Arabidopsis thaliana: one gene and its partner. The protein of the gene in region 1 interacts with the protein of each later gene in a pairwise test. Each region holds a gene or a part of one and is shown on either strand. Other genes may lie near its edges. The genes, in order: AT5G09995 and ABCG16.

Region 1 (4,009 bases):
TCTTCTTCCTCTTGATCTCCCTTAGCCTCCTCTTCTTCCCCATTCTCCTTCACCTCGTCGACGACTTCTTCCTCATGCTGTTGACTCTCCTCCTGCGTCGTCTTCGTCGTCTCCTCTATCACCTCATCGTTCTGAGTCTCCGCAACAGCAGCTTTGCGACCTGCTTTCGAAACACCCTTTCTCTTCGCTCCTTTCTTCATTGCCACAGTACTCTACCAACGAATTGAGCAACCCTACTGGTTTCGCCGGCGAAGATAGAGAAAGAGAGAGAAAGCTAGGGATTGATGGCGGTGGATCCGGAATTTCGAATTTTTTTTCCGGAGGAGACACAAATTTGGGGGTTTTGTTTTTTATTTTATTTTATCTTTTCTTTTTGTCCAAATGTGTTCTACTTATTGCGTGATTTCAACGAGCGCTCTTCATGAAAAGGAAATAGGGTTTTTGATTTTTTCCCCCAAATTATTTAGGCGCCGTTTGCGAAAATATTATTGTAAGGCCCAAAATTCATATATAGCTTTTGGCTAATTAATTATTTTTTGAATAATATGATAATTTAATATTTTTCATCATGTTTAATATTTTCATCATGTTTACAGATAATTTGCAAGCTATTTAGGGAAATTTGTTATATTAGAAGAAGTTTTTTTTTTTTTTTTTGCTTTGATAACATTTGTTATATTGTGGACACAAACTTTTTTGAAGATATTAAATTTATAAAATTGAATTAAGTATATCAAATAATAATTTGAAATTACATTTAATCTTTATAGTCTAAGAAATTCATACGGACAATATCCGTCCAGATGCGAAAAAGACAACTCAACAACAACAACTAAACCCATGGTGACGAAATAAAGCCCAACGTTATTTCCCATATCTTACGAATCCTTAATGGGCCTATATAGTATATTTGATACCAATTACAGACCCATGATGGGGATAAAAGCCTCAACTACTGAACAAAGATGATCGAAGCACATATACATTACTAGTCTGATTTTGTAAGTGGAATCCGATTTAAATATTTTGAATCAACGTATGTAAAATGATATCAATACATAAAAATACATCAAAACACATCAAATACTGAAATACATATTTTAATACTGAGATTTCAAAAGTTCAAGGCAGGCATGTGTAACTCATATAAGATCGGATTGTTTGTGAGTGTAAACAACACAATCTTCTAGTGGAAGTGCGATACACGTGAGGATGTAACCTTTTTGAATCTGCTCTTCCTCAAGAAAGGACCCTAGTGACTGATCCACTTTCCCTGACACCAACTTTCCACAACATGTCCCACAAGTCCCTGACCTACACGAGTATGGCAGTTCAAGTCCCGCGTTCTCCGCAGACTCAAGTATGCAACAATCTTCGTTTCCTTCTATCTCTTGCTCCTCACCTTCCGGACTAATCAGTTTCACTTTACGAGACTCTTTTGCAAACACCTTCCCAAAATTGCCTCTCGACGATGACAAGCCAAAATAAGTCGTGTTATTGAGCCTGGTCGTAAGTTGAGCTTGTGATGGTGATATTCGTGATATTACAGGGATTTTTATGATGTAAGAGGAGTAGAGTACTTGATCCATCAATTATGCTTTGGCTTTTGATGAAACTATAATGTAAGAAAAACGAATCAAACCAAATGTATATATGTAGTTATAGCTCAAACATCAGCCCAAACCCTTAAAATCATTCATGTGACACGTGCATAGGGAGGTGCTACGTGTAGTTTATAGGCTTGTAGCTCACAAACCTCCAAACCAATGTGGTGGTGTTCCGATTTTGCATATGACGCAAAGAAGGTCAAATTAACTCAAATGATAGTAATGGGGTTATTTTCAATAGTTAACGCATAAACAGAGGACTTTTCGTGAAATATTGTTGTTTCTAAACTTGACGCAAATTTTCTCGCTGACACAACTGAAATCCATTGTTATCGTCGACTCGAAGCTTAACAATGGTTTCTGACGAATAGAGCTAAAACCATTCACAATGTTATTCTCGCCTTCGAAATTGCAATCACCCCAATCTCTAATCTCTTGGAATCCGATTCTCCATAACGGATTCATCGATAAAAATCTCTCCTTTCGCCGACGGGTCACTCTCCGGCTAGCTTCACCGATTTCACGATTGACCAAGGGTTCAGACTCAATCGCATCTTCTACTCCCTCTGCATTGTACTCGAATCCTCAGGAGCCATCGATCTCTTCCCAATTAACATCGTCCGTGGGACAGCCTCCTCTCCAACTCTCTCAATGGACATTCACACAGAAGCACTTCGTCTTGCTCAATGTCGTCGCTTGCGTGGTAAGCCTCTCTTGGATTTAGGTTTTGATTCAAATTGCTCAATAAAGATCTGGACTTTATGTCACTTTGTAAACAATCATCATCATGGGTTCTGTTGCAGACAGCAATTTCAGCATCGTGGCTCTTCTTTGCTGCGATTCCTACTCTTCTGGTTCGTTCTCCAACATTTTGCTTTTACAGATTTCTTCAACCCTTTGATGGATTTTGAAGGTTGATTTGAGTTTTACTTTGGAATGTTGAGAAAGGCTTTCAAGAAAGCAGCTGAGTCTCTTGAAAAGCTTTTGGATGTAACTAGAGAAGAGCTACCAGATACAATGGCTGCTGTTCGTTTATCGGGAATGGAGATCAGTGACTTAACTATGGAGCTCAGTGATTTAGGGTTTGTCTCACATCCCACCATGATGATTACCAATTTCTTCATATCTGTTTTGTAACTCTTTCAGTGTTTGTGTAGCCAAGGTATCACTCAAGGTGTTAAAAGCTCGACACGGGCTATTCGTGTAGCTGAAGATAGACTAAGACGGTTAACAAACATGAATCCAGGTCTGACCTTTCACTTCTGAACTCTTCTATTCGAACTATGGACTTTCATGGTTAACTCCATTTTTACCTCATCAGTAGCTTCAATGCAGGAGGTGATGCGTCAAACCAAGACAGATGAAACAGAACCAATGTTGGCTAAACAAGCGAGGAGCTTTAGAGAAGGTGTTGTTAAGGGACGCTCTTTATGGCAATTGTTCTCCACAATCACTCGTTTCTCTAAAATCACTACAAGTTATCTTGCAAAGCGTGCTAAGCAGTAGAAGCCTAGAAGGTGATCAATCAGATGCCACTTTTCTCTTTACCCTTTTTCAGAGTCCGCTTGAGTCTTTCTAGCTTAAGAGTGTAATTTGATTGATTTGAAATTATGATATTAATATCAATATATCATGATGATTCATGAGATGCAAAGAAAGTATGTTGTAGAGTAACTACCAAACAAGATTATCCAATTCTACATCAAGATTCTAGTTACATGTCGTAGTCGTTAACTCCACCTCGTTTTCCCGAGCTAACTGGTTGTTTCCTTATCCCTTTCCTCATTACGTTGAGACTCCTAGTTGAAGTTTCGATAGATGAAGGTTCTTCTTTCTCTTCCTGCAACACACAAAAAAAAAAAGATAATAGTAGCTTAGCAGAAAGAAAGTATCCTTGAGTTTACAGAGGAGAGACAGAATGATCAGTTTTTACATTTCTTGCTCTAGCTTTCACCATGTCTGAAGAAGAAGAAGAAGAACGTCTGAATCTCAGACACTTGAAGAAAGCCTTGACAGTTTGAGGCATGAGCTTGCAACAATCTCTTTTGTGATCTCTCTCTTGCTGCATCTTCGCTATCTTCTAAGTTCCTCTATATGTGACTTTCTCCTCAAATTTTCTTTGTCACCAAAAGATCAATCATATGCTTAAACTGTGATTATAAAGCGGTGAATTATAACCAACTCTTTTTAAAAACATTGCACCATCTTTTAGAGTGGCCGTCTCTTTCTTTGTTAAAAGCTGAGGCTATAAGAAAACCAACAATTCCATAAGTTATGTCCTAAAATTCGAATTTTTTTTGTTCGACTAAGATTGGCATCATGACATTTAAGTTTTCCTTAATCGATATATACATACTTTTTGTCTTTTTTCCTTCAAATTATGTCAAGCTCTAAACTCTAAT
Region 2 (5,235 bases), on another chromosome or scaffold:
GTCTGGCAGGTTTTATCTACTATCTTATGATCATCTTCGCGTCCTTCTGGTCAGGATGCTCGTTTGTTACATTTGTCTCCGGTGTGATTCCAAACGTGATGATGAGTTACATGGTCACCTTTGGCTATCTCTCATACTGCCTCCTCTTCAGCGGATTCTACGTCAACCGTGATCGAATCCATCTTTATTGGATATGGATTCATTACATTTCTCTGCTAAAGTATCCCTACGAAGCTGTTCTGCACAACGAATTCGATGATCCCTCCCGTTGTTTCGTGAGAGGAAACCAAGTGTTTGATAATACAATAATGGAAGGAGTATCTGAAACGACAAAGGCTAAGCTTCTGGAGACAATGAGCGGTTACTTGGGGATGGAGTTAACGGAATCAACGTGTTTGACGACGGGCTCTGATTTGCTTAAGCAGCATGGAATTGAGCAGCTGGATAAATGGGGTTGCTTGTGGGTAACGTTAGCTTGGGGATTCTTCTTTAGGATCTTGTTTTATTTTTCGTTGTTGCTTGGAAGCAAGAATAAGAGGGCGTGAACGCCATAATGTAAATTTTTCCGAAACAGAAATTTTATTGTGAAAGCAAAATTGTCTTTTTGAATTTGAGATATTGATGATATATGTTGTATAATTATTATTTTTTTCTTTCATAGCTATCATATATTGTCTAAAGAAAGAATCGTACATCTAACATTTTACATGATGTTAGGTTCACAATTTTATAAAGGACTAAGATTTTAGTTTAATTCACAATTGGTAATGTTTTTAACTTAACAATATGAACTACATCAATAGTTTAAAGTTCAAACTAATATAAAGATACCACAAGCTACCAGTGAAGTAATTTAGTAGTTTTAATGTGCGTGTGAGCTATATGCCATCTTTCGTGGTCGGTGTAAACATAACGTATTTGACAAAATTCAAATTGCATCACTTTTTAAAAACAAAAGTATATACAACTAAACAGTTGGTCGAAAATAGAATTCAAAGTAGCCAACTTTCTTATAAGCTTTATTAGATGGTATTATAAATCTTTGACCCTTTTCTTATGGCGGTAAGGAAGACTACAGTAGGTAGAAGTTAGTCACCTAAACTTCAAAATGTCAACCAAAAAGATGTAACAGTGAAGTCAAAGTTTAGGATTGGAAATCCAAGAAGCTAAGCCAGTACGTCAATTTTGCTTTCATGTTACCATTGTGTCCATCACTAGAAGTTTGACCAAGTACTACTTAAGAGGAAGTTGCCTAACCTTTTGATCTGTTTCTTCTTTCCCTGGATGGATCAAAGACATCACTATTTTTACTTTCTTAACAAATAGTATTTGAAATGTGACACCATCTTTATGATTCTCGTGTAATTTTCGCATGCATGTTTAATTTTAGCAACAAACTTGACGATTTTTATTATATTTCTCTTAAACCACCACTCCACCCTTTACAAAACAAAAAGAATGTTTTATCAGCTTCTGTATACTGTGAATAAAACAGAGGAAACAAAGACCAAACACAATATTTGAGTTTGGTAAAGAATGTTCCACCGTTACCAACTAAATAATCAAGAAATAGAAAAAATGAACTTGGAGATTGTGTGTAGTCTTTCATAGCAAAAACAGGAGTTTATATTCCCAAACTAAATACAAATCTAGCTACTTTATCAAATATAACTTTTATATTATATTTGGTAGAATTAGTTGGGGTTCCGGAATTATTGCAATTTGCAACTTTTAGGCAGTTAGCAGCATAAGCAATCGTCTTCGGTCGCGAAAACAAAAGAAAATGTGAATAGTTTATCTAGGTACACATTTGCTTGCGATACAAACAATCACTATATCGCTACCAACATTCGAAGAATCTTTTAAAAACATTAATTAATTGACCAAACACTATGTGAAACGCAAGAAATATCTCATCTCAATCCTATATACTATCTATACCTCGGTTAGATCAACACCCTTCACCTAATTCTCCATTCTAATCGCCACGTGTCAGCCATTTCTACGTATTTTAGTATTATCACCTTGGAAAATCTAGATTTATTGGTCATCCCATTACCTCTCCCTAATTGAATACGAGAAATCCAAAACGCATTTTCCATCCAAACGCTAAGAATATTATTGTTAACAACACAAACCTAACAGATTTCTCATGATGATGCAACTCATTCAACACATAGAACCTTCGTGTTCACACGCTTCCACACGTTACTTCATATATATAAGGCCTATACACAGATACTAGCAAAACAGAGAACAAAGACTAACATTTTGATCATGCAAAGAGTGTTTTGATTTTCAAGTGTAAGCACATCATTTCTCACTTTACCATCTTTTGTTCTAAATGTCTCGCATACTAGTAGAAGATGATAATGCAACACCGTTTCATTCCATGGAGATTATTAGCTCATCTTTGACTTTAGGCCAACTTCTCAAGAACGTTAGCGACGTTCGTAAGGTTGAAGTTGGTGACGAAACTCCTGTTCATGAATTCTTTGACAGGGATGGTTCTTCACTTGACGGAGATAATGATCATCTTATGCGTCCTGTTCCTTTCGTTCTATCTTTCAACAACCTTACTTACAACGTCTCTGTTCGCCGGAAACTTGACTTTCACGACCTGGTTCCATGGAGGAGGACATCTTTCTCCAAGACCAAGACTCTTCTAGACAATATCTCCGGTGAGACTCGTGACGGAGAGATTCTTGCCGTTCTTGGAGCTAGCGGGTCAGGTAAATCCACTTTGATCGACGCTTTAGCGAATCGGATCGCTAAAGGAAGCTTGAAGGGCACGGTAACGCTTAACGGAGAAGCTCTTCAATCTCGGATGCTGAAAGTTATCTCAGCTTATGTAATGCAAGACGATCTTCTCTTCCCGATGCTTACTGTGGAAGAAACCTTAATGTTTGCAGCTGAGTTTCGATTACCAAGAAGCTTACCTAAATCCAAGAAGAAGCTTCGAGTTCAAGCCCTAATCGACCAGTTAGGGATAAGAAACGCTGCTAAAACAATCATTGGAGACGAAGGACACCGTGGAATCTCCGGTGGAGAAAGAAGGCGAGTTTCGATCGGAATCGATATCATCCACGACCCGATTGTTCTCTTCCTCGACGAACCTACTTCTGGTTTAGATTCCACAAGTGCTTTCATGGTGGTTAAAGTATTGAAGAGAATCGCAGAGAGTGGCAGTATCATTATAATGTCAATACATCAGCCAAGTCACAGAGTTCTCAGTTTACTTGATCGTCTTATCTTCTTGTCACGTGGACACACCGTCTTTAGTGGTTCTCCGGCGAGTCTACCGAGCTTTTTCGCCGGGTTCGGTAATCCGATACCGGAAAACGAGAATCAAACGGAGTTTGCACTCGATCTAATCAGAGAACTCGAAGGATCAGCTGGAGGAACAAGAGGATTAGTTGAATTCAACAAGAAATGGCAAGAGATGAAGAAACAGAGCAATCCTCAAACCCTAACTCCGCCGGCTTCTCCAAACCCAAATTTAACCTTGAAAGAAGCGATTTCCGCCAGCATAAGCAGAGGAAAACTAGTCTCCGGTGGCGGCGGTGGTTCCTCCGTCATAAACCACGGTGGCGGAACCTTAGCCGTCCCTGCATTCGCGAATCCGTTCTGGATCGAAATCAAAACTCTCACCAGACGCTCAATCCTCAACTCCCGACGACAACCGGAGCTACTCGGAATGCGATTAGCCACCGTAATCGTCACCGGATTCATCTTAGCCACCGTATTCTGGCGATTGGATAATTCACCAAAAGGAGTTCAAGAGCGGTTAGGGTTCTTCGCATTCGCAATGTCAACAATGTTCTACACTTGCGCCGATGCTCTTCCCGTGTTCCTCCAGGAACGTTACATCTTCATGAGAGAAACAGCTTACAACGCTTACCGGAGATCCTCCTACGTTCTCTCTCACGCCATTGTTACCTTCCCTTCGCTCATCTTCCTCTCTTTAGCTTTCGCAGTGACGACGTTTTGGGCTGTTGGGCTTGAAGGAGGCCTAATGGGCTTTTTATTCTACTGCTTAATCATCTTAGCCTCTTTCTGGTCCGGAAGCTCCTTCGTGACTTTCTTATCCGGCGTCGTTCCACATGTGATGTTAGGCTACACGATCGTTGTTGCTATTTTAGCTTACTTCTTGCTTTTCAGTGGCTTCTTCATCAACAGAGATCGAATCCCTCAGTATTGGATTTGGTTTCATTATCTTTCTCTGGTTAAGTATCCATACGAGGCGGTTCTTCAGAACGAGTTCTCGGATCCTACAGAATGTTTTGTGAGAGGTGTTCAGCTTTTCGACAACTCGCCTTTGGGAGAATTGACGTATGGGATGAAGCTGAGGCTTTTGGATTCTGTGAGCCGGTCGATAGGTATGAGGATATCGAGCTCTACGTGTTTAACGACGGGTGCTGATGTTCTGAAGCAGCAAGGAGTGACACAGCTTAGTAAATGGAACTGCTTGCTTATCACGGTAGGTTTCGGATTCCTATTTAGGATTTTGTTTTACTTGTGTTTGTTGCTTGGGAGCAAAAACAAGAGGAGGTGAAACTGAAACTACTGATGATACCTAAAACCAAAAACATATATTGTAATTCTTTTTCATTACTTGTAATTCGTAGATTGATTGTGTATTTGAATTGTATTCTTTTTAACATTTGTATTACTTTTGCCATCAATAAAAAAAATATCATTCTTTAGGAAATTGGAAATACAAAAAGCACCTATGAATCGCTTTTACTCAGAAAATTAATGCAACATTTCAAATAGAGGCATTGAGATTGTGGAAGAAAAATGAGGAGACACAGACACTGTTGCTAGAGGCAAGTAACTCTCAAAGCCATTTCACTTTGTAAGGTATCAAAAAGTCAAAATTGGAAGGCTATCTACAAAATCAATTAAAAACAAACCGATTTATCTGAAATTTAAAACCGAAACAAACCGGACCGAATCAGCATCAGAATATCGTCTGGTCCTGGCCGCTCTGCTCTAGCCGCAGTCGAAACACGAGTCCATAATACGAGCGGTGGTTGCTCACGCGCCATCCAGTTTGGCTGGAGATGCTATTCTGCATTTCGACAGTGAAGCTTTTCGGGTTTCAACAAAGGCGCAATGTTAGCTCTTTAGCCAAGCGTTTCAGTCTCGCCGGGAAACTAACGTTAGAGCTCCAAACTCAGGTTTGATTTGTGAAAGATTGAGACTTTCGTGAAATTTGTGAAATCAATGTGA

Evidence for each region.
Region 2: the proteins of AT5G09995 (region 1) and ABCG16 interact in a protein complementation assay, tested with the Arabidopsis thaliana proteins (one large-scale study listed by BioGRID).

What each region holds. Positions count from the first base shown.
Region 1 is NC_003076.8:3,124,289-3,128,297, reverse strand, and holds AT5G09995 (uncharacterized protein), read left to right. Parts: upstream 1-1,919; 5' UTR 1,920-1,995; coding exon 1,996-2,310; intron 2,311-2,410; coding exon 2,411-2,461; intron 2,462-2,555; coding exon 2,556-2,689; intron 2,690-2,764; coding exon 2,765-2,853; intron 2,854-2,928; coding exon 2,929-3,113; 3' UTR 3,114-3,221; downstream 3,222-4,009. Other genes in the region: AT5G10010 (myosin-H heavy protein), read right to left, coding at 1-200; FD4 (ferredoxin 4), read right to left, coding at 1,143-1,589; PROPEP5 (elicitor peptide 5 precursor), read right to left, coding at 3,322-3,447, 3,541-3,675.
Region 2 is NC_003074.8:20,415,662-20,420,896, reverse strand, and holds ABCG16 (ABC-2 type transporter family protein), read left to right. Parts: upstream 1-1,986; 5' UTR 1,987-2,344; coding exon 2,345-4,555; 3' UTR 4,556-4,714; downstream 4,715-5,235. Other genes in the region: ABCG17 (ABC-2 type transporter family protein), read left to right, coding at 1-545; AT3G55080 (SET domain-containing protein), read left to right, coding at 5,067-5,183.